Linked DNA regions of Canis lupus familiaris. The protein of the gene in region 2 purifies or fractionates together with the protein of the main gene of each other region. This does not show direct contact. Links are inferred from orthologs where the notes say so. Each region holds a gene or a part of one and is shown on either strand. Other genes may lie near its edges.

Region 1 (7,428 bases), on a different chromosome or scaffold from region 2:
CCCTGTGGTCTTAGGACTGGGGGCAGAAGCTCTTACCTACCCCAGGAGCCCTGGTGACCATGAGAGAACTGGGATGAGATGTCCCAGCCCCAGGAGAACAGCCCCCACCCCCTGCCAAGTCCAAGCCTCCTACCTCCTTATCCAGGGAAGCTTCTAGATGCAAGGGCTTGTCCGACATGAGGAACTGCCTGGTGGTCTCAGCTGTGGGCTGGGGGCCAGGCCTCTCCGGGGCATACTGAACCTTCCTGATCACCAGGCGCACAGAATTCCTAATGGAGATGGGCAGAGCAAAAGATAGCCAGAGTCACCTGCCTCCATCCTCCTTCCTCATAACCCTCCCTTTCCTCCTCAGGAGACTGCCATGGCTCCCCCGGCGTTACAATCCAGACCAAACTGCAGAGGTGGACACAGAGGCCTTGTCACCACCTGGCCCCACTCCATCCTCCCCCATTGTGTACACAGCCACCCCCACTTCCTCACTATCATCCTCAGTGGTTCATCTCGTCCTGTCTCTGCAGCTTTGCTTACACCGGACCCCCGCCTGCAATACTCTCCTCCTGCTTCTACCCTCATTTATTTCCTTCTTCAGGACCCAGCTAAATACCTCCTCTTCCAGGAAACCTTCCTGGATCAGCTCACTTGATCTTGTCCCGGTCTTAACTCCCACACCAGCGGAGCTGAACCACCCCATGGCAGTCCCTCATGTGGATCTGTGCCTTGGCAGCCAGCAGGATGGCGAGAAAGGAACTATGTTTCACTTCCCACATCCCTTACTTTACTTAATAGTGTAAGCTCCTTAAGGAGCAAAATTTTTATCTCAATTGTTCACTGCTGTGTTTTCAACATCTATGACAGTGCCTGCCATATAACAAATGCCTTCCAAATATCTATTAAATCAAAATCTGCAGAGGGACCCCATGAAAAGGTGGGGGCTCAGAGAGGTGACGGGGTTCAGTGAGGGGGTGTGGATTCAATCAGGGGGATGTAGGCCAGTGACAAGGATGGGGACCCAGTGAATAGATGGAGGCCCAGAGATGAGATGGGACTCAGTGAAAGGGACAGGGGCTTAGGGAAGAAACGAGGATACAAGGATTGGGAGGGGATGGGATCTGGTGAGGCAGTGCCTGCGATGTGCTGGGTGTGCCAGCATCCCCATTTCTCACCTGCACCCCCTAGAACTGGACAGCCAGGCTGAAGGTCTGAGCTTGCCCCTTACTAACTATATGCCCTTGAGAAAATTCACCCCTGGATCTCAGTTTCCTCATCTGTAAAATGGCAACAGTAGCAACACCTACCTCCCAGGGTTGCTGAGAGGATTAAATTAGTTCCTACATGTTCACCACCCTGAATAGTGTCTGGTCCTTAATAGGCCCTTCATAAACGATAGCTGCTATATCATTATCAGTAGTATCTCTGATGTGGACTTAAAATGTCACACTGGCATAGGGTGAAGGCAGTGGCCCTCAGTGTCGTTCCTCTTCCTTGCTCCGGTCAGGCCCCCTTCAAAAACCCACGAACCCCTATCTTTCCCCTGGTCTCAGGTCTGAAGAAGAAAAGGAAGACAGAGAAGCCAGGGAGAAGGGTCCCATCTCCCCACACCTTGGAGTTGCCTGGGCTGGAGATGGAGATGCTCAATACGCTCTTCAGCCGCCAGGTGGCAAACTCAGCCCACTCCCTAAGAAGCCGCAGTGCCCTCCCTCAGCCACCCTCAGCCAGGCTCGGTAGGAATGCGGGCGGCTGCCTGGGGAGGCAGGGTGCATCAGAGTGGGGGGCTGAGGCCAGCCTCGCCTCCTCGCCAGAAGACAGGGCAGGGCCTGCCTTGAGGAGGAACAGGCACGAGAGCAGGGCTGGGCAGTCTATCTCAGAAGTCAGGTCCAGCTGTTTCCAGCTGCCAGTCTGGACTGTCTGCCCAGGGCTGTGCCTCTCTAGAGAACACTACCTCTTCTGACACGTGGGCTGACCCATCCCACACCCCACTGCCGCCCCCACTACCACCTGCTGCTGATGGCTTCCCAGGAGAAGTAGGAAGTAGGGGTTCAGGGTGGCTGGAAAAAACTCTTGCTCACTCTTTAAAATGATCCAAATTTTGTGTTTCTTTCCAAAATAAAATAAAAACATGCAGTCTCATGGGGCAAGACTTGAAGCAGGGTGATGGAGGAGGCAGGTTCAGCATTGTAAAGGGAGAAATCCTGAGGCCTGAGGCCTGAGCCCTAAGCCCCAGACAGTTGAGCCACTTTCTCCAGGAACCCCTCCAGGACTTGCCAGCCTTCCAGAGGGCCCTTCTTGGAGTTTCTGGGGCTGGAATATGCGGCCCCTCCTCACACACTTCCAGGTATTGTTACTTATCTCTTCTCTGACTTTGCTGGTCTTGTCTCTCTCCCTCTGCCAGTAGGCAGCCCACACCCAGCGGAAGCTGTGCCCTTCTCACCGCTTGTGGATCTTTTCCTCCAGGTTCTCGGCACAGAAGGCTTTGACCTCGTAGTCCACACCACAGGCCTGAGGAGAAGGGGCTGCTGACCACAGGGTCCCGACAGCACAGCCATCCCACCCTCTTATTTTACAAACCAGGACCCTGGAGGGGAATAGCAAACTTCACAGGCCAACCGCCCCTCAGCCTGATTCAGGACCCTGTGATCGGCCTCAGCCCCAGTGCTGTGCTGCACCCCAACCCCACCTGGCCTTCCCACAGAGCTCCCCTAGCTCCCCCAACACTGGGTGTCCCAAACTGCCCTAACTGGGCTCCACCCTGCAGACACCTGCCTGGTCTGGGCAGCTGTCCTCATTAAGGCAGCCACTCGGCAATAACAATGGGGGTGCTCAGCAGTCCTAGGAGGGGAGCACAGACTATGTGCAGACCCAACAGTGCTCTGGTGGCTCACTCCACCCTCTAAACTGCAGGAGGAGGCATAGCCTCTCATCTCCATTTTGCAGGTGAAGACAAGGGGGCTCAGAGATCTGGGGCCTGTGACACTAGTAGTGTCACTTCTCTTGGAGCCTCCATTTCTCCACTTGTGAGACCACAGTGAATGGACCCCCATGCAAGGTTGTGAGGCCAAGAGGTAGTCCAGAGAACATTTTGGTTCTGCTGCAGCCAACAGTAAGCCCAGGAGAGACTGCATGTAATGGAATGCGGGGGTGAGGATGACACCCTATCTGCCTGCTGCCCTGTATGAAAAGAGCCGGCTTATCTGAGGCAGTGTTGAAGTGGCTTCCACACAGGGAGGCTTCCACACAGAGTTCCGATGCCTCTCAGAAAGCCAGGGCCCTGGGGATACAAATGTCCTTTACCCGGAGAGAGGCTTCCAGAGACGTGACCCACCTTCCCCGTGTCTTCAGGCCCTGGCTGCAATGTCACAGAGCACGGGAGGTTTGGAGGGATCTGTTAAGAGGACAGACAGGTCTCCTGTCACATTGACCATTGAGCTCCTCATGTTGCCCACCCACCACCCCCACACACATTTATCAGACCAGGGGGCCCTAGCAACAGGCCATGTCTCCCCCATCAGACCATGCCAAGGATGCCCCACACTGGGCCAGAAGCCCTCCAGTAAAGCCAAGGATTTCAGTGCTTTTCTTTATCTAAAGGATTTTGCCTAGGGGCATCTGGGTGGCTCAGTGGTTGACTGTCTGCCTTCGGCTAAGGTTGGGATTCTGGGGTCTGGGGATCGAGTCCCGCATTGGGCTCCCTGCATGGAGCCTGCTTCTCCCTCTGCTGTGTCTCTGCCTCTGTGTGTCTGTCATGAATAAATAAAATCTTAAAAAAAAAATTAAAATAAAGTGTTCTGCCTAGATTGTAGTAGGCAGAACAAGCCCCCCCACCCCCTCAAAGGTGCCCACCTTCTAATCCCCAGAACCTTCAACTGCTACCTTACTTGGCAAAGGGGATTTTACAGGTGTGATTAAGTTAAAACTCTTGAGATGGGGAGAGTAGCCCGAGTTATCCAGGTGTGCCCGATGTAATCACAATGGACCTTAGCAGGGAAAGCAGGAAACAGAAGAGTCGGTGTCAAAGTGGTGGGCTGCAAGAAAGACTGACCAGCCATTGCTGGCTTTGAAGACAGAGGGGTAGGCTTCAAGCTAGGGAACACAAGCAGTTTCTAGAAGCTGGAAAAGGCAAGGCCTAGAGCCTCCAGAAAGAATACAGCCCTGCTGACACTTTGATTTTAGCCCAGTGCAACCTGTTTTTTTGTTTGTTTGTTTGTTTGTTTGTTTGTTTGTTTTGACTTGTAACCTCCAAAACTGTAAGGTCAGAAACTTGTGTTTTAATGGTCACATTTAATTCCCACCAGGTTGGCAGCAGCTTGTTTGTTACAGCAGCCACAGGAAACCAATACATCTGCCATGGACAGGATGACTGTAATGTCTCTCCTCTGGTTTCCCAGAAAGCCAGGGGATTTCACTGAATCACAGAATCAGAGTCTGAGAAACAGGAAGTTTTAAAATCCAGAATCTGGGAGTCTTTCCATTTGGAAAAGTGGCAGAGCAGGGAAATCACTACATGCCATCCCTCATTAATGAGCTGCGCTGGAGCTCAGCTGGAGCTGGGCCGAAGCTGGGCATGCGGGCAGCTGGTCTGAGGGAGGAGACAGTCCTGTAGTAATTCAGAGGTGAGAAAGGGCTCCTTCTTTCTCTGCAGCCTCTGCCCACCCGGCTCTCTCCCGCCACGAGCTGGACTCGGGAGGGTCCAAGGAGTAGCTCAGAGGTAAGGTGACACCCCTGGCAGTGGCCAGAGAAGAGACACTTACCAGGAAGTATAAGTGACAGTGCCCCAGGTCCCAATGTACACTGAGAAATTGAGTGACATGGAGCTGCTGCCCCAGCTGTCCCCATGTGCTTGCCCACAGGGCTTCCTACTGGTGGTGCAGTTGGCAGTCCCTAACCTCAAAGGTGAAAGGATAGGCATGCTCGCCCAGCTTCTTGATGAGGCGCTCCTGCAGCCGTGTCAGGGGCTTCTTGTCCTCAGGGGCTGGCGGGAAGGACTGCACGTTGGCCACAAACAGATCCTTGCGAAACGTCAGGCCCAGGACATCCAGGTCCTCCCGGCCATAGCGGAAGGCGCAGGTCAGTGTCACGTAGACTGTGGGAGCAGGGGGCATGGAGGATGAGCCCAAGAGGGCAGCAAACAAGCCCCCAAGAGCACCAGCTGAGCCCTGGGATTGGCCCAACTGGAGCTCAAAGGTCTGTCCCAAAGCTCCTGTGTGGGAAGGCTGTGCAGCCCTCGGGATGGGGGTACTGGGTACCCAGGAGAACCACTCAGACCTGGCCCCTAGGGGGAGGTGAGGGCTGACTGCTGGATCAGTTCTGTCCTTTCCCATGCCCCACTCTGGCCAGTGTGGGGAGCACAGGAGATGGTCTGACAGGGTTGGTGAGGGCTGGAGAAGGCTGGTAGGACCGGGGTGGAGGGCAGGTGGGGCTGGGGAAGTGATGTGGCTGGAGAGAGCAGAGGGAGAGGGAAACAAGTGCTGGGTGGTGTCTAGAAGGTGTGGGGTCCTCTCCTAGCCCAACCCCCACCCCACATCTTCCTGCTGACCTTGGACAAGCCCTTCACCTCCCTGGGATTCAATTTTCTCTCCTATAATGAGACTCTAATTCCTGCCCTAATGGGCATCCCCGGCCTTGCGAAAGTCATGATATATTGATGTGAGTGCTCAGGGAATTGAAAAGGTTCTCCTATAATAGGCATAGGTGGGCTGCCCAGGCGAAGGGAAGAGCCAGTGGGGCTGGGCAGGGAAAGGCCTTAAAATTAGTTGGTGTCATGTCTGGGACTCATGGAGGCCCTGGGCTAGAGGTCAGTAGGGAATAGGAGGCCCCCTCACAGCCCAGAGGTGGGGACCACTTCCTCACCTCTCCTCTCCTTGAGATACTCAGGATCCACCAGGACCACGCCATCTGGAAGAAGGACAAGAGAGTAAGCAGACCCTCCCAACTTGACCTCTCAAATTCTTGAGCCCCAAACACCAAGCCAGGCCTGACCTCACCATCTGTCTGTGGACAAGCCTCATGAGAGAAATAGGGGAGGCCAGCACCCGTAGGAAGGCACTGCCATGCCCCAGCCCCTACCCTCAGGCGGCCCTACAGACCCAGCTGGCAACTGGTCTGTTTCTTCCCTGTTAATAAAAACACCAATATGGGTCCCAAACCCCTACGAGCAGGTGTACTTTAGAATTTCGAGATTCTAAAAGGCCATGTGGTACATCTTCCATATATTCTGTAACACCCTCTGAAGGATCTGGGGCAGTGCCCCATGATCAAACCCATTAACACCTCAGCAGGGAAACATGAATCTTTTCACAAAGAGGCTAAAGTATAAAGAGCTTCCTATAGTTCAGGTCAGGTTTTGTCACTAAATGAATCCTACATCAAACTTACCAGTAAGTTTAGACTTCTAGAGTTTCTTGGATTTGGGATTTGCCATCAGGAGTTGTGATCCTACAGAACCGACCTCCCAGGCCTCCCGTGAAGACCAACTGAGTTAATATGTTTAAAGCTGAGATGGTGCCCGGTTCATGGGACTCTACAGAGAATGTCCCCGGGCCTGGCCGTGGCAGTGCGGAGTCCAGCTAGACACAAAGGACATTTTCTCCCTGTGGGATCCCAGGAAACTGGAAATACAGGCTCCTTGCCTTGACATCCCCGGTCACCTCTGGCCATACTTCACCCAGCCATACCCACTGAACAAGCAAAATTCTCTCCTCAACTCTCACCCACTGCCACCCTCCCCCTACATCCATGCTGCCCCCATAGCAATCTCTCAGGGAATGTCAGAGGCTGCCCCTGGAAGGGAGTGTTAGAGGGCTCCTGGTCCCATCCAGTCCTGGGCAGGCCCAAGGGATACTCGGCCAGGGGTGTCTGCCCCACCGCAGAACGTGCCCATCTTCCCTCTTTCTTCTGTGGGTGTTTCCTCTGTGCCTGAGCACCCAAGGTCTCTGTACAAAGTAGGGGGAAAAGGGCAATTCCCCAACCGGAGATGTCAGGGAAGGCTTCCTGGGGGACAGAAGCAGTGGGCAGGTCTTAAAGGAGAAGTACGGGTCACCGGTTAGATGACCAAGGGACAGCGCAAGCGGACAGGGGGAAGCGTGTAGATCCTGGGGGTGGTAGAGGAAGCAGGGCCAGGCCTGACTCACAGTGTCCTGTCTGCAAGACTGGGGGCGTGCGCTTGCCCCGGAGCCCAAAAGGGAACCATGGCAGATAGTTAAGCATTGGGAATTCACAATCAGCTCACTGTTGTGATGGGCAAGGTGTTTCTCTCTGTGTCATTTGATCAACTCTCGACAGTGACCTCAGAGCTCCCTGGGATCCCCAGGGCCTGGCTCAAAGTAGGTGCTCTGTGAACACTGACTAAACAGCTCTCAGGGTGCCGGTGTGTGGTGGAGGAGCTGATTCCCTCCTGCTCCCGCCCCCAGCCTCTGTGTCACCCCCACTGCTGTC
Region 2 (7,428 bases):
TTGACTGGTTTGAGCCCCCAAACAAATTGTTCTTAGAATGAATTGAAAGAAATAAAAATCGTCTTGGGATAGTTTAGTTGTAAAATAGAAAACCTTCCTTTATGATTCAATCATTCTGCCACTTAGACACTCCTTCTATCAAAATTGTGTTGCAAATTGTGTGGATGTGAGATTTACATCCTTAGTAAAAGGCATTAAAAAAAACAATATGAAGTTTGTATAAATTGTGGCTGCTCACCGTGGGCAAATGTGGTATTTATATTCATCCTATGAAAAGACTGAATAGCAGGTCAGACTTATCTTAGGAGAGAGAATGTCTGGGCCAAAGGGGTGGATGCATGCATTCGTCAGGGGTAATTTGGCATGAGAGGAAGCTTATTTTGAATTCACCAACACGAACACAATGCATTAATAATATCTGTGTCAGCCACAGCTCTGCCTTCACATTGCCCGATCTTGTGTTCCCCATCTGATGAGAAAGAAAGGTACTGCTTTGTAACTACAAACTGAAAGCTTGGGGCCCTTTTGCAAAACTTTTCCAAAGCCTGGACTCACAATCTGAACTTCTGGCAGGTCGGTGGGACAAGATAGCAATGCAGCCGACAGCTTTTGCTGGAAAATAAACAGACAACTCCTGCCCAGCCTATTTGGGACACTCTAAACTCACCTGCATCTGTCCATAGGGAGAAGCACTAGCTGAGTCCCTGCTGACATGGGGAAAATGGCCCATGTGTGTGCCATTGGTGTGTCCAAAGGAAGGCCAAGTCCCAAATGGTTCGTTAACTAATTAGGCTGTTAGAGAAGTCACTAAGCCTGAATTTAGTTTTTACACATCTTTGAGCTCCTCAAATGCTCTTATTCTTGGAACCACACATGACACACAATCTAGGCTAACACTTGATCTGCAGCCCTATAAGGAGATGTCTCCAGTGGAGCAGGTGGGGAGGACCTATGGTGGGCTCTCACACCTTCAGACTCCTAGAGAGGAGAAAAGGGGCAGAAAGGCACTAAGCAACGAAGAGCTATGTTCTGAAAAGAATGCTTGCAACTCTAAGAGGTCTTCACTTCTTAAGGACTTTTCAAAGTACAATGGCTATCTTTGACTATTACACAAATATCAGAAAGGTCACTTGATGGGAAAAAAATCACTTTAAAAGCCATTCGTTGTTACAATCTAAGTAAGCCTTTAAGGGCAAAGTTATTACAGAATAAAAAGAAGTTACAGACTTCTGGTGCCTCTCAGGGGCAGGGGCAGGAAGGACAGTGATCATAGAACATGCTGGGCAGTGGGCAGGTGGCTGGGACGCCGTAGGAGCCAGCAGCATGTAGATGCAACAGAGTCCAGTTCCTCCGCTCACGTTTCAGGCAAGAGGCTGTTTGTAAACGCCACACTATAATCTTTCAGGAGGAAAAAGGAAACAAGGACCACCACTCTGTTTCCATCTCCTTCCCCAGACATTGCAGGGCTACCCTGCTGGACTCCCCTCCATGTTTTTTTTAAACCATTTCTTATTGTGGTAAAATAAAATTTTTGAATAAAAAAAATACCCACATCTTGCCATTTTGGCCATTTTCAAGTGTATAATTCAGTGGCATTGATTATATTCATGATGTAATCACCATCATCACTGTTTCCAAAATCTTTCATTGCCTCAAACAGAAGCTCTTAGACTCGTTAAAGCCAAACTCCCCGTTTCTCCCTCCCAGCCCCCTAGCCCCTGGAAACCTCGAATGCACCTTCTGTCACAAATTGGCCTCTGGTAGATGCCTCATATGTGTGGAATCCTATAATATCTGCTCCTTTTGTGTCTGGCTTCTTTCACTTAGCATAATGTTTTCAAGGTCCATCCAAGTTGTGCCCCTTGTCAGAATCTCATTCCTTTCCATGGTTGGGTAATATTCCATTGCGTGGATAGATCATATTTTGCCTATCCATTCATCTACTGATGGACACGTGGGTTGCTCCCAGCTTTGGCTACTGTGAATAGTGCGGCTTTGCATATTTACCTTCCTCCATTTTTGTCCTCACTTAGTGGAAACGGGGACTGGGGCAGGGGAGCAGATGGATTCCTGGGGACAGAGACCGCTTTACCCTGAAAGGCTGTCCTCTACGCTGCTCCTCAAACGTGTGTGTCAGGGATGCCTGTGGCACCTGGTTGTGCTTGGAGGTTGGGGCACTTACAAAACTCACTCTGGCTTCACTTCTCAGCCTGGCTTTGAGAGGCAGCAGGGAAGAGTGGTGCGATGGACAGAAAGGGCCCTCCATTCACTGGTGTCTGAGGGTGTGAGCCTCTCCAAGTTTCACTTACCTGTCCCCACAGCTGAGAGCCCACCTGCCTCTGCGGGAGGCTGTGTGGCTGGGGCGGCCCCTCCGTCAGGGCTAACCGGCTTCCACAGCCCCTACCTCACTCAACCAAGCTGATACCTTGTTTTGTTGGTCCTTCCCCTGATGGCCATAGGTTCTGCCAGGAGGCTGCTGACCTATAAACCCCCCTGAGTGGGGACAAAGCAACGGAACCTGCCTGAGGACTAGCAGCCTGGAGATGTTCTCAAATGGCAGTGGTACCTGGGCACGAAGATGGAGTTGTGCAGGAAATTCTCGAACACTTTGCGGTACTCGGCCTCCTCCTTCTCAGCCTGCTTCTCGGCCTCAGTTTTGGGGCAGGCACAGCAAGGCCCCTTCTCTCCACCACATACTTCGGTCTTGGGATTCTCTGTCACCTCTTCGACATCGATAGTGCCATCAGCATACTTCCTGATGGGGATTTTATCTACTCAGGAAAGACAAGCCCAGCAGGAATAGAAATCAATAGGTTGTATGTGCTGGGGAGGAAAAGGGGTCGCCACCAGCACACTCAGTGGAGAATGTAGCCGAGTTCTGACAAGGGGCCGCATGTTACATTGGGGCCTGGATCCATTCGGATGCTGGGGTTTGGTCCCAAGCCCCCTCGCTTCTATCCCTCCCACTCACCTTTGGAGCAGTAGTTGTGGCGGTAAAGGTAACTGTCCTGGGGCTGCCGCTGCCACCTCACGATGTAGTAACTGAGGTTACCGTTGGGCAGAGAGGGTGGGTTCCACTTCACAATGAGCTGAGAAGAGGAGTTTGATGCAGAAAGAACATCCAGGGGAATGGAAGGAACTGGAGAGAGCAACAGAGGACATTTCAGAACATGGAATGAACCCAAAACCCAGGCTGGCAGGTAGTCATAGCAAACCAACAAGAAGCCACAGGCATGACCTGGGTGAGGACACAGTGAACATAGATCCATGAGATGACAAGTAAATCTTTCTTTGAAATCGTATTAATTTAGGGGCACTTAGGTGGTTCAGTGGTTGAGCATCTGCCTTTGGCTCAGGTCATGATCCCCTCATTCATTCACAGAATGAATGAGGCAGGACTAGGAAAAGCAGTCCACAAACCCAAGCATACACAGAGCCTTGGCTGCAAGCAATAGACTCTGTTAGCAGCCAAAGAATACTGATTTACAGATAAAGCATAATAATCTGGTCAAGTTTTATGTACTACTGCCTCCCAAACCCAAACCCAGAGCTGCCTTATGTATAAAGGGCAATCACATCTCAGGACCAGCGAAATCGTATTTTCCTTGGGTTCACAAGAAAACACTGATTTTCATGGGTTTTCCAAAGTAAAGAGTAAAGAGACCTCTTTACTGTAGATCACTTACACAACATGGCCATCCAAGCCACTTTTAAAATTTCAAAGGGCAAAGAGCTTGAGGGTACTTTAAGGCCCATAATATCATACACAAGATTCTGAACACCTGTTTGGAGTGATGCTTTAGGAAGAAGTTGTGACTAATGCCAGATTTTTCAGGAAAAACAACCACGGGATGCTCGGCCACTTTCAGATTTCCAAAGTCAATATCTCAAGAATAAATAGCGTACCCCTCGATGTTTCAAGTCTAAGTATCACAAAAAAGCTGAAGCAGAGGACTTACTGGGCCTTCCTCTCTTTCTGCCACTTGAAAGGACAGGGGCCAAAATGTAGGGAACTGGCCCAATTTGTATGGTGCTTAGTTTTCCATCTTTGGGGAAGGGAAATGGGTTTAAGAATTCATCATATAATAAGGGGCACTTGAGTGGCTTAGTCAGTTGGGCAGCTGACTCTGGATTTTAGCTCAGGTCATGGTCTCAGGATCCTGAGATCGAGCCCCACATTGGGCTCTGTTTGGTGGGGAGTCTGCTTGAGGACTCTCTCTCTCCCTCTCTGTCCCTCTCCCTCAGCTCACTCTCTCTCTAAAGTAAATGAATTAATCTTTATTTTATTATTTTTAAAGACTTTATTTATTTATTCCTGAGAGACACAAAGAGAGAGGCAGAGACACAGGCAGAGGAAGAAGCAGGCTTCCAGCATGGAGCCTGATATGGGACTTAATCCCAGGACCTTGGGATCACAACCTGAGCCAAAGGCAGACACTCAACCACTGAGCCACCCAGGTGCCCCTGAATGGATCTTAAAAAAAAAGAAAAAAAAAAAAAAAGAAAGAAAAGAATTTGTCATAAAAAGGAAAGATTCGTATTTTTCCTGAGCTGGCAACAATAATTTACTTCCAAACCTTAGGAAGCATAACTTGTTTTGTTGCCTTTGAGCCTCTGCTATACTACCCACATCCAGGATCAGAAGCCTGTGCCAGATTTACTTCTATAAACACTTTAGGATCTGTGACATGATTGTGACCACTTATGGGATCCCTGAGATGGAGGAAGGGAGGAAGAAGCAGGCATGCAGGAGCCAAAGGTTTTCCCCATAAACACTTTTTCTTTACCCTCTCCACCATTTAAACTTGTTTTGTGCTACCTTAAGGGTATTCTTTAAAAACCCCTATCATCCAAGGATATTTATCATTGTCTTTAGAAATGATGTGGATTTTCCTACCTCTAAGCTGGTTTTCATATACTTAGCTAATACACAGAAACGTTTGCTTTCATTAGTTCCAGACTCTGGGGTTGAGAAAAATGAGGTGGTTTAGAAAATGAAGACAGAGACAGAAAGAGGAACACTTTTACCAGTGAATATCTGGAATGTCCACAACATACATACTCTGTCTGACATTTCCAAATTCTGTCTACCTTCGTGGGACCCGGTCCCTACAGAATGAAGATGGAAAACCAAGTAGCCACATGAGGTAAATGGGACACGAACTTAGCATGTTTTCAGTTCCTGGAGGTTCAGCTATGAAAATAAAACAGGGGGCTGTATCCTGGAGGGGTCCTCCGAAAAAAACCACCCCAGCCTCCTGGAGGACCTGGGCTCACTGGTGCAGGGCAGACAGATGATAGGAGATGGGTCAGAAAATGGCCCAGGAGAGCCCAGGGTATTGGGACTGAGAAAAATAGTATGACAGAGCATTAGTTATTGGTAAGAAAGATACATAAAAAGCAGACTGGTCCAGGTTCAAGAGAAACAACAGGCACATGTGTTGCTGGCCCTCTGCCTACACTTGTCATAAGCAAGCATGGTGAGCTTGAATATGGGATGGGCGGTGTGCAGATACCTGAAGCATTGGTGCGAATGTACAAGATTTCACTCTTAGCCCCACGGATGTGGTCATTCTCCACCATGGTGAGGGTCACCGCCTTGACATAAACCGCATACTGCGTCCAGGGCTTCAGTCCGTGCAGTAAAATGCCAGGCTCAACGTCCTTGTTGGGAGGGAGGTCCACATCTACCATATTCCAGCTGTTGGAGCCACAGGCATCCTGCCCATCATACTCCGTAACGTTTTTAAAAGGTCTGCAAGACAGTGGGTGAAACTCAGAGAAAGTTTTAGGTCTCTGACATCAAAACCCTCAGAAACCTTTCCCAAGGGCCAAGCACATCACACTTTCTATTTTTAAAAAAATATTTTATTTATGTACTCATGAGACACAGAGAGAAAGAGGCAGAGACATAAGCAGAGGGAGAAGCAGGCTCTCTGCAGGAGCCCAATGTGGGACTTGATCCCAGACCCCAGGATCATGCCCAAGTCAAAGGCAAACACTCAATTGCTGAGCCACCCAGGCGTCCCGTCACACTTTCTATAATGGGAATTAGAAATACATGGTCAATTAGATTTGTACAGAAGGATAAAATTAAGCAACGGGACCCCAGGTTTCACCACATTTACAAACACACTGTAGAACTGCATACTCTGCCTCAAGAAAAATAAATTCTAATTGTTGCTGGGATTGAAAACTCAGCTCCTTAAGCATACAAGCAAATGCTATTTTTCTCTTTTCCAATTGTGGCATTTTTCACCATTAAGAACAAAATAAGCATAATAATTTAATGCAAACATTAGCTACTGAGGAAGAATAAAACTTTTGGGGAGAAAGGACTTTTACTACAGAAGAACAGCTTCCAACATAGAGCTTTCAAAATCTCAATGGCTCGCAAACAATTGTGATTGCTTAAGTATTTTATGATATTCAAGTATTTAGCTTCCAGATTGTCTCTGAAACTAACACTGACTCCTTGGTGAGATTACCAGGTGAAAATGCCAAAGCACTGGTGGAAGCATCAAAGAGAGAATATTTTGCACACATTCTTGGGCAGGTAGGGGTTCTCCATCAATCAGATGAAAGGGTCAGACAGACCCTAGCCGCTGGCTTCTGAAACAGATATTAACATGGCCCTCCCTGTCATCATAACAGAAGACCATGAATGACTCCCACACAGAAACACACTGAGCACCCAATAATCCTGAGATCTGCTTTTTTTTACTCCTATGACCCTTCCCAGGGTCCTGGCTATGGCAGGGGCAAGGGGACCAGATACTGCCATTGGTGGCTCTGGTTCTAGCTCTGGGGAAGCCAACCACTTTGGAAAGAGACCTACAGAATCACAATTGGAGCTGGTTAAGGAGGGTGGTTAATGAGACTGGGGGAACCACATGGATAAGGAGGCAAAGAAAGGAAGAGAGAGACCTGCTGAGGCAGGTGGATATCACCTGTAGGCACAAGAAAAGCCCCCAGATTTTGGGAGAAATCATGAAAGGTTAAAAACATGAAGGTCAGTCTCCCTCCATTCTTCCTTCCCTGGTTCAGAGGGCTCATAACCTAGAGCAGAGGAGCAGGTTTTGGGAAGAGCTTATGGACAGGAATAAAATGACAGATTGTCTGGGGGTCACCCCTAGGGAAGCTAGAGTTCTTGGGGTTAGTGGACACATTCTGTATTCCACTTTATGGATGTCTGGACTAACCTAATTCTCTAAAACACAAGCTTTTCTTTTTGGAATTATTTTATTCAAACCCTTCTAATGACCCGCTGAAGAATGAAAGGCCTCAGGTGCCTGGGTGGCTCAGTCAATTAAGCATCTGCCTTCAGCTCAGGTCGTGATCTCTGGGTCCTGGGATGGAGCCCTGCATTGGGCTTTCTGTTCAGTGGGGAGTCTGCTTCTCCCTCTCCCTCTGCCCCTCCCCCCTGCT
Region 3 (8,217 bases), on a different chromosome or scaffold from region 2:
GTGATAACTGCCTTTTGCACTGGTCACATTTGGGAAGTCCTTTTTTTTTTTTTAAACCTAGTGCAATCTTATTTCCATATTGTGATAGTCACACACACACACCCCCTGAGTGACCCAGTTTTTTAATTGGCACCCTCCCTCTTCAGGATACAGTTGAAGATCATCTGCTGATCATTGCTGTTTTGTGTATATTAATGCTCTGAGGCTTTAGGACTACAGTTTTCCTAAGACTCTTGACATTTCCCAAATCTGAGATTGTATCTTGCTGAAATACCATGATAAAATTGAAGGAAATGGAAATGGAAGATCTCTATAGGCTATTTCAAAAGTATATTACTTAGATAGCTACCACTTGAGCAAAAGCCAGGTGTGATTAAGAGTTCAAAATACTGTGTTTTATAATACTGCTTTGAGGAATTATCTGTTCAATTATTTATGTCATAAAGCTAGAACTGAGGTTTTACGATTCCTAAAGAACATTTTCTGCAAGCTTAGAGGATTTATACCTGAGACACAAGTCATTGTGATGCAATACAGCATTAGAAGGTAGCTTATCAGAGAAAAACAAACAAGTCAGAAAACCAATGTTTTATTCCTAAAGTTCTGCCATCATTTCTAGCGGGTGCCGATGGTCACCTGCCACACACGCACCAGGTTGTCGGTGTAGCCAGCAAACAGAGTCTGCAAGGGAGAAAGGACAGCGACAGGTCATGTCAGAGTCACAGAACTCTGCATTTCTAGTAAAAAGATGGCCTTTTAAGATCACCAATCCTTGAACCATCAGGTTGTAGGTGGTATGTATTCCAAGAGAAGGTAATTAATAATCACTGCTAGATCGATCAATTTTCCTTCCAATGCCAGAACATGTACTCTGTTCACTGACAGTTAATCTGGTCCTCCCAAATCAACCTGGCTAATTTTATCACTTTACTTTATGTCAAAGACACACCAAGAATAAAGGAAGAGAGAAAAGGTAGAAGCCAAGTCACTTCAGAGACTCACTTACCTGGCCATCAGCAGACCAGGCCAGAGAGGTACACTGGGGTGGCTCTGCCTTGCTGCTGGTACTGATAACTTCTTGCTTTAGTTCATCTACAATGATCTTGCCTTCCAAGTCCTGGGGAATGGGCAAAATCAGGATAAGGAGGGACTCTGCTACAGGCATCCAGTTGGGAGTAGAGGCTGAGTATGTTACTGAACAGCCTAAAATACAGGAATGCCTCCCCCTGCCCCCAGAACAGTCTAGATCAACTTGTGCTGAAGTTGAGTAAGTTGTCATCCCCCTTAGTAGACAAGTGTCTGCCACCACTGCAGATCCCAGTCTTGGAAAGCTGTTACCTTGCTCTTCCTGGATCTCCACTGCTAGCCGCATGGTTAGCAGGTATTCAGAAAGCTCAAATCCCAGCAGTGACAGATCAGGAAATCACAACATTACCAGGACTCAGAGAGTACAGCCAGGTGTTCAGCCTTAACTGTAGCCCACACTCACCCAGATCTTGATGCTGGGGCCCGTGGCAGCACATAGCCAGTATCGGTTAGGACTGAAGCATAGGGCATTGATGATGTCTCCACCATCAAGTGTATAAAGGTGCTTGCCTTCATTGAGATCCCACAGCATGGCTTGGCCATCCTGGGAAGACAGGAAAGGTGAGTCAGGGCAATATGAAACCCATTGCAGTTGTTAATCTTAACTGCCTCAAAAATTTTTTTTATTACTTAACAGTCCCCCTTCCCCCGCAAACTTCCCAAAAACTAATGAATGATTCAAATACCAATATTTATCTCTGAATGCCTTTCCTTTAATGCAGGGCACCTCACCAACCCTACGATGTCTCTGACAACTTCTAAATAAATCAGTTCTGAAAAGAACAATCAGTTCTGAAAAGAACAGTTTCAAGAAACCAGCTTTACTGAAAACAATCTTTTTCTTTAAAACAGTATGCCTTATCTATGTCATTTCCAGGAAGCAATCTTAAGATATTTATTCTTGGTTGCTACCTCAATATCTTAAATATCTTTTTAAAACAGTCCCTCACTGAGTAGTAAACTCCCAGTTTCTGAATACCTTCCCTCCAGAAGCACAGAGAGATCCATCCGGAGAGACGGTCACGGTGTTCAAGTAGCCCGTGTGGCCGATGTGATTGGTCTTCAGCTTGCAGTTTGCCAGGTTCCATACCTAGGTTTGGTAAGGTGGAGGGTAAAAGGTGAAGAATCTGGCTCTGAACCAACTGGGGTCAGGACTGCTCAGGACAAAAAAGGCACGATTTACTTAATTTAAAAGCATTCCAGGACAGGGTGACCATTTTTCATTCTATCAGTAACAAAAATGTTAAAAAGAATTTGTCTTGGTCACCTAAGGGACAATCAAGATTAAAAAAGGTAACAAATGTTCTATGTGTTGCTTTATGAGGGACACTGGGCTTCATGAGCTACTTCAGACCAAATATCAAAAACCACTGGCCTGTACTTAGAAGAGTGCAACAGGAAAAGTGAACCGAGGGACAAAGCTTTCAAACTTAGATCCTATGACCACCTGAGAGGCAGTGGGAGAACATTCTGGCTGGTGAAGGCCCTATACCCTGGCTCCAAGCTCACCTTGACCAACTTGTCCCAACCACAGGAGACAATGATGGGATTGCTGCTATTAGGTGAAAATCGGACACAAGACACCCACTCTGAATGGCTCTCGTCCTGCAGAGGATGGAAAAGAAATTAGAGAAAGTATCCTGTCTCCATGAAACCAGAACCTCACCTTCCCTCAGTTACATGGAAGTGTTCACAACCCTAGAACCCAAACCATTAATATCAAGAGCTCCCTTTATAGAGTCCAGGCCAGGCTTAAAATCACCTTAAAGCCAAGGTTAAGAAGGGTGGGAGAGAAGTTTCTACATGTGCCTTCAGTTACCTGTACGGTGTACTTGCATACACCCAGGGTATTCCATAGCTTGATAGTTTTATCTCGCGACCCAGAAACAATTTGCCGGTTGTCGGAGGAGAAGGCCACACTCAGCACATCCTTGGTATGTCCTACAAATCTGCGTGTGGTGGTACCCCTGAGGAGGAGGACGTGGTCAGTCTCTAGATGCCTCAAACACTCTTCCACATCAGAATGTTTCCCTGGTCTGTTCCTGTCTCACTGGAGCTGCCATTACTCACATGACCCTGGACATAGGTCTGATCACAACAGGCCCATGGTTGAGCATATATGAGAGTATCCCTTCAGAATTGCAGGACATGTCCTCACTCCCACGTAGGGATTGGCTGACAATGTCATCTGTCATCACTGGGATGCTCATTATGCCCGGCCATCCAAGTACTGAGCTCCCAAGATAAAACATGTTCAACACTTGCCTACTCCCAACCACAGTATGTGGTAAAACTCAACCAGCCCACTCCTCTAACAATTCTGCATAACTAATTAAACCAGCAAGGATAGAAGCCAAACAATCCCAACTACCTTTTCTAGGTACTTTCTTGCCTTAAGTACCCACAATGAACCTCAATCTCCCTTGGAAACCACCGCCCAACAGCATCTACCTCATTTTTGCCTAGCCTTTGCCCAGTGTCCCAGAGTTAAATGAGCAGCTACTTGCGTTGTGAGATCCCAGAGACGAAGGGTTCCATCCCAGGAGCCTGAGAGGGCAAACTGGCCATCTGAGGAGATGACCACGTCACTAACAAAGTGGGAATGACCCCGAAGAGCACGCTGTGGGATGCCATAGTTAGTCTCATCCCTAGTCAGCTTCCACATGATGATCGTCTTATCTAAGGAGAGGTAAAAAAGAAAACTCAGTGAGTTAACAGCCCACTTGCTGACCTACTGGATAATCCAGGATCCCTCAGTGTCATCGGTGGACTTAAAAGGTAACAAATTAAGGACTCTCAAGGGGGAAGAACTACAGGGTGTGAGCTGTTACTAGTCAAGGCCAAGGTGATTGGCTATTCAAAAAAGATTCAAGTAGAACTAAGCAATGCCATGAAAATTAAACTCTGGTGTGCAGAACTTTAGCATATTATGGATGCCCCTTTCTGACAGATCAATTCAATTCTTGGAGTCTGATCTGAGGTCTAAAGCATAAACACTGCTGCTTGGCTGTGGGATTCCTACAATCACTAATGGCTGCATTCGGAAAAATTGCTTTACATCCTACCTGACTGGATGCTTTCACTGAAACGTGTTAGTAACAACAAGTTTTCCAATTACTCTCCAAACATGATCCTGGCCTCAGACTATTTTTTAATAGTGTGGGGGCCAGCAAAAGGCACAAGAAGCCTCCGAATGCTGCCAGGTTCAGTGAATGAAAAGAAACGAGGGGAGTTCTTGCAGTCTATCCACTAAGCACGGGCCGGGCGTAAGCTCAGAAACAGCCTCTGGTTCTCAGCACAGGTACTCAGATGGCATGTTGGCATCATCACCGCTCCGCCCGACCCCGTATCTCCTGAGCACACTCAGCTACACACCTACACACATCTGCGAGAAGATGGGCAAGAAATAAAACCCCAACCCTGCAATCCTCCTGGCGACCACGAGCTGACCTAGGTCTCCGTCTCTGCCAAGCGGGGATGGTTCGCGGGTTTATCCAAGCGGAGGCCGTGGCCCGGGTCCGCATGCCCCAACTCACACCCGGACGGAGTATTCCAAGTCGCCAAGCGACACGCGCAACCCACTTATCCCTCAATCCTTTGCCCCGCACCTTAGCCCGTACCTCGAGAAGCAGACAGTATCATGTCTGGGAATTGGGGAGTGGTGGCGATCTGAGTCACCCAGCCATTATGGCCCTTGAGGGTGCCACGAAGTGTCATCTGCTCAGTCATAGCGGCGGCGAGAGCGAGTGTCGCCGCGGCGACAAGGATGGAGATGGATAGTTCAGAAGGACTAGCAGCACAGCCGCTCCCGACAAGGCCCTCCAGAGGAAAAGAAGGAAAAGGTCCCCGCCGGAACCGGAAATACCCTCCCGTTCGAGCAAAAATGGCGGCCCCCGTTATTCACTCCTGCCTAAGATGGCGGCGCCTCGTAAGTCAAAAGGCGAGATGAAATGGCAAAACTTTATGGTCGCCTCCGCCATGCAACATAATTTGGCAGTGCCATGCCAAGTCATTCTGAAACCAACTCCACCAGGTGTTTAAAAAGGCCCCTCAAACATCCACTGAGGCGTGATGTATAAGAAGACGAAGAGGGGACGGGCACAGACAGCATGTTCCCATAAGGAACGTCCGGCGCCTTCCCTGCCCCCACGTGGCACAGCGCGAGCCCTGCCTTTTCCGCTTGGTGGTCTGGAGGGCCAGGCTGAGGGAGCTCAATTTCGAGGTGAGAACTGCCAGTAACGGTAAGGAATATGAAAAATATGGTATTCAGTTTTTGAAATACACTGTACTTAGGTGAACCAGTAAACTCTGACTGATTTCCTTCGCAGAGGGCAACTCCTCCCTGGAGAGGTTTTTGCTTTGAGGGAATTGGCTGAGGCACTCCCTGTCCGGAAGGACCTAGTCCAGGCAGAAGTAAACACAGGAACAGGTTACGGAGCGGAAAACCGGGGAGGAACGAACAATCGGCCCGTGGGCTGCATGTCCGTCCCCGGCTCCCACCTGGGCAGGAGCGCGGAGAGCCGACGCAGAGACAGAGACCCCGAGAGCAAAGGCCTCCGGGTTCTGACTTACGGGTCTCGAGTGAAAGCGGGCTCTGAGCCTCACCGCCTCTCAGGCAGGTCTGCGGGTCTGGGGAGTCCAGACGTGCCCCTAAGGAGGTTCCACCTGCCTGGGACACCGTGGATCAGGGTTCCCAGGTTGCCTACCGGCCTCCTGTTTAGCCGCATGGTACGTGAATATGTAGTGCCTCCTTGATAACTGAGAGACGATGCTGGCAGGCAGCGCTCCTGTCACATATTTTTTGAAGGGGGAGAGGTACCAGGGTGGTACCATTCGCTATCATCTAAGCAAAATAAGGGGGGGGGGAATTATACATAATAAGTATTTATTTTCTGTTTGTAACATGTATTAATTTTAGTTTCATATCTGTGAAATGAGGTTGGAAATAATAGTACCCACCCAAAATGGTGTTGAAAAGAGTAAATGAGTTATGGTAGGTAAAGGGCCCAGAACAATGCTTGGCAGAATAAATGCAGGCAAACTTAGCACCTCTTGGGTACCAGGCCCTGTTTTAGGTCTTGAGGGATACAGCTGTGAGCAAGAGGGGGGTGAGGACCAGGTTTTTTTGGAGTTTACATTTGATGGAGTGAGGGGGAAGGAAATTGGAGCAAAGAGACGAAGAAGGAGACAGCCCTGTGGATACACGGGAGGATAAGGTTCTGGGGGCAGGGATGCTCAGTGCAAAACATCCTGGAGGTGTTGGAAGTGCTGAAAACCGAACAGTGAGATAGGCGTGAGGGGCAGCTGACAGAGGGCCCGCAGTCTGGGGGAAAGAACATGGCTCCTCAGGGTGGTTGCTGTTCTGAGTAGGCTTCAAGGGCTCCAGTTGCGAAGGTCATTTAAATGCCTCCGTAGCACCCCCAATTAGCTGTCTTTTTCTTCTAACACTAAACTCGAAGTCGACCCCAACCCTGACCTGTTTTGGTAATGGGAGACCCTTACTTTCACCCACACCAGTATCCAGTTCACTGTTCATAGCTCGGGTCGTGCCAGTGCCCTGGGCGGTTGGGACAAATAGAGAGGTGAGAGATTTCCACGCTGTGGAAATGCACAGAGCAAACACTCCCCTGTGTTGGCCTGTACATGCAGAGGATTTCCTCTCAGTTCAAGAATACGCGTTCCTTCATCTCCTGCCTTCACCCAAGAGATCCTTGGTTAGTCATATTATATTTACTCCTCTCGAGAAATCTCATTTGGCTCTCTGTATTCTTGAATTTTGCTAAGGAGCCCCTGTGGAATCAACATCTCTGAAAGAGGGCCAGGAGGACAGGTTTAAAACAAGCCTCCCAGGTCTCTCACGCATGCTCAAGGACTCGACCTTTCGTCACCACCAGGCCCCTTTCCAGAGGGGGCCGTTCCTCGGCTAGCCTCGTCCTCCCCAGGCTCACCTCTGCGCAGCCCTTTCCCAGAGTCCTCTGGCCACAGAGACCAAGATTTCTGTAGGTGTCTTTGGCCTCCCGCAATTCCATGGGCGTCTCCCTGTACCGGCCCCTGGCAGTGCCCCCTCCTCTGGGGCCAAGGGGGGGAATCTCGGGTTTTCCCCTGGAACCCACCAATACCCATCTGGCAATGTCAGCAGAGGAGAGGGAGAAATGGAATATAGTGGAGTTCCCAGATGACCAGACTGTAGGATTTGGGCTTTTCCACCTTGGAGTTTTTCTCCAATCATCACCACCTGGTCTCTCCTCTCTTGGAGAAGATTCTGGCAAGCCACAAAACCACTGAGGGGTATTCATGAATTGAGGGAGGCCTGACCCTGACTCTGGGGACACTTTGGGTATAGCTAGGGGCAGGGATGGCATGTAGCAGCAGCCTTTCCCTCTCAGCCCAAGCTGGAGTTGAGCCCCATACATGCCTGCTTCCGTTTGGGGCCCCAAGGCTCCCTGCTAGGCATGTGGACCCACCTGGACTCCTCAAGCCTGGCCCTTTCCAGGGGGCTGACTTCTCTTGGCTGCTAGACGCATCCTAAGAATAAGCCTGTGCTTTCCACAGTAGTCTGCTGCCTGCCCAAGCAGGCCTGGGTCCGGCCTTTGGGCCTTTTCATCCTGGGTCTTTGATCTTTCCCTCTAGGAGGCAGAAATCTGTTGGAGGGCTCCACCTGACCTTGGGTGAAATTGGGGAAAGTTACTCTGCAGAGCCTTCTTTCAGCTCCCCAGGCCACCCCTCTCGTATGTTCCCCACCCACTGGTCCCATGCCCTGGGCTGCCTGTCCTCTCCTCTGTCCCCACTGGCAGCCTGTCCTCTGGGCTGCCTGTCCTCTCCCATGTCCCCACTGGCAGCACTTCCATTCCCACACAAGGTAAACATCCCAAAAGAGAATTTGGAGATTCTTTTCTAAGGAAGTCTGTCTCACCATTCCTTTTCTGCTGGGAATCCCTAAGATCAGCACAGCGGGGAGAAGCCCCTCTGGTTTCCCTGCTAGAGGCCCATGACCTCTTCTAGGAACAGAGGCCTCTGTTCCCTCCTGCCAGCATTCAGGAGGTGAGACAGGTCTTCCCTTGAATGAAGTGATGAGTACTGTTGTGGGTGATAGGTGAGGGGCTGAGGGAAAAGGTTGCGGCCAAGACTACA

The links.
Region 1: the proteins of IGF1R (region 2) and ARRB1 purify together in Homo sapiens (affinity purification with western blotting; 3 studies listed by BioGRID and IntAct, with this or other methods). This does not show direct contact. The link is inferred for Canis lupus familiaris from reciprocal best matches to the Homo sapiens genes IGF1R and ARRB1.
Region 3: the proteins of IGF1R (region 2) and RACK1 purify together in Homo sapiens (affinity purification with western blotting; 4 studies listed by BioGRID, with this or other methods). This does not show direct contact. The link is inferred for Canis lupus familiaris from reciprocal best matches to the Homo sapiens genes IGF1R and RACK1.

The regions. Positions count from the first base shown.
Region 1 is NC_049242.1:23,394,047-23,401,474, reverse strand, and holds part of ARRB1 (beta-arrestin-1), read right to left. Parts: intron 5,890-7,428; coding exon 5,845-5,889; intron 5,078-5,844; coding exon 4,881-5,077; intron 3,380-4,880; coding exon 3,320-3,379; intron 2,497-3,319; coding exon 2,429-2,496; intron 270-2,428; coding exon 134-269; intron 1-133. UniProt on the Homo sapiens protein: Functions in regulating agonist-mediated G-protein coupled receptor (GPCR) signaling by mediating both receptor desensitization and resensitization processes.
Region 2 is NC_049224.1:42,429,703-42,437,130, reverse strand, and holds part of IGF1R (insulin-like growth factor 1 receptor), read right to left. Parts: intron 5,756-7,428; coding exon 5,517-5,755; intron 3,140-5,516; coding exon 2,972-3,139; intron 2,772-2,971; coding exon 2,567-2,771; intron 1-2,566. UniProt on the Homo sapiens protein: Receptor tyrosine kinase which mediates actions of insulin-like growth factor 1 (IGF1). Binds IGF1 with high affinity and IGF2 and insulin (INS) with a lower affinity. The activated IGF1R is involved in cell growth and survival control.
Region 3 is NC_049232.1:609,497-617,713, forward strand, and holds RACK1 (receptor of activated protein C kinase 1), read right to left. Parts: upstream 4,936-8,217; 5' UTR 4,816-4,935; coding exon 4,707-4,815; intron 4,423-4,706; exon of another isoform or gene 4,355-4,422; intron 3,766-4,354; coding exon 3,594-3,765; intron 3,292-3,593; exon of another isoform or gene 3,213-3,291; intron 3,054-3,212; coding exon 2,906-3,053; intron 2,692-2,905; coding exon 2,596-2,691; intron 2,177-2,595; coding exon 2,066-2,176; intron 1,631-2,065; coding exon 1,490-1,630; intron 1,118-1,489; coding exon 1,007-1,117; intron 682-1,006; coding exon 616-681; 3' UTR 574-615; downstream 1-573. UniProt on the Homo sapiens protein: Scaffolding protein involved in the recruitment, assembly and/or regulation of a variety of signaling molecules. Interacts with a wide variety of proteins and plays a role in many cellular processes.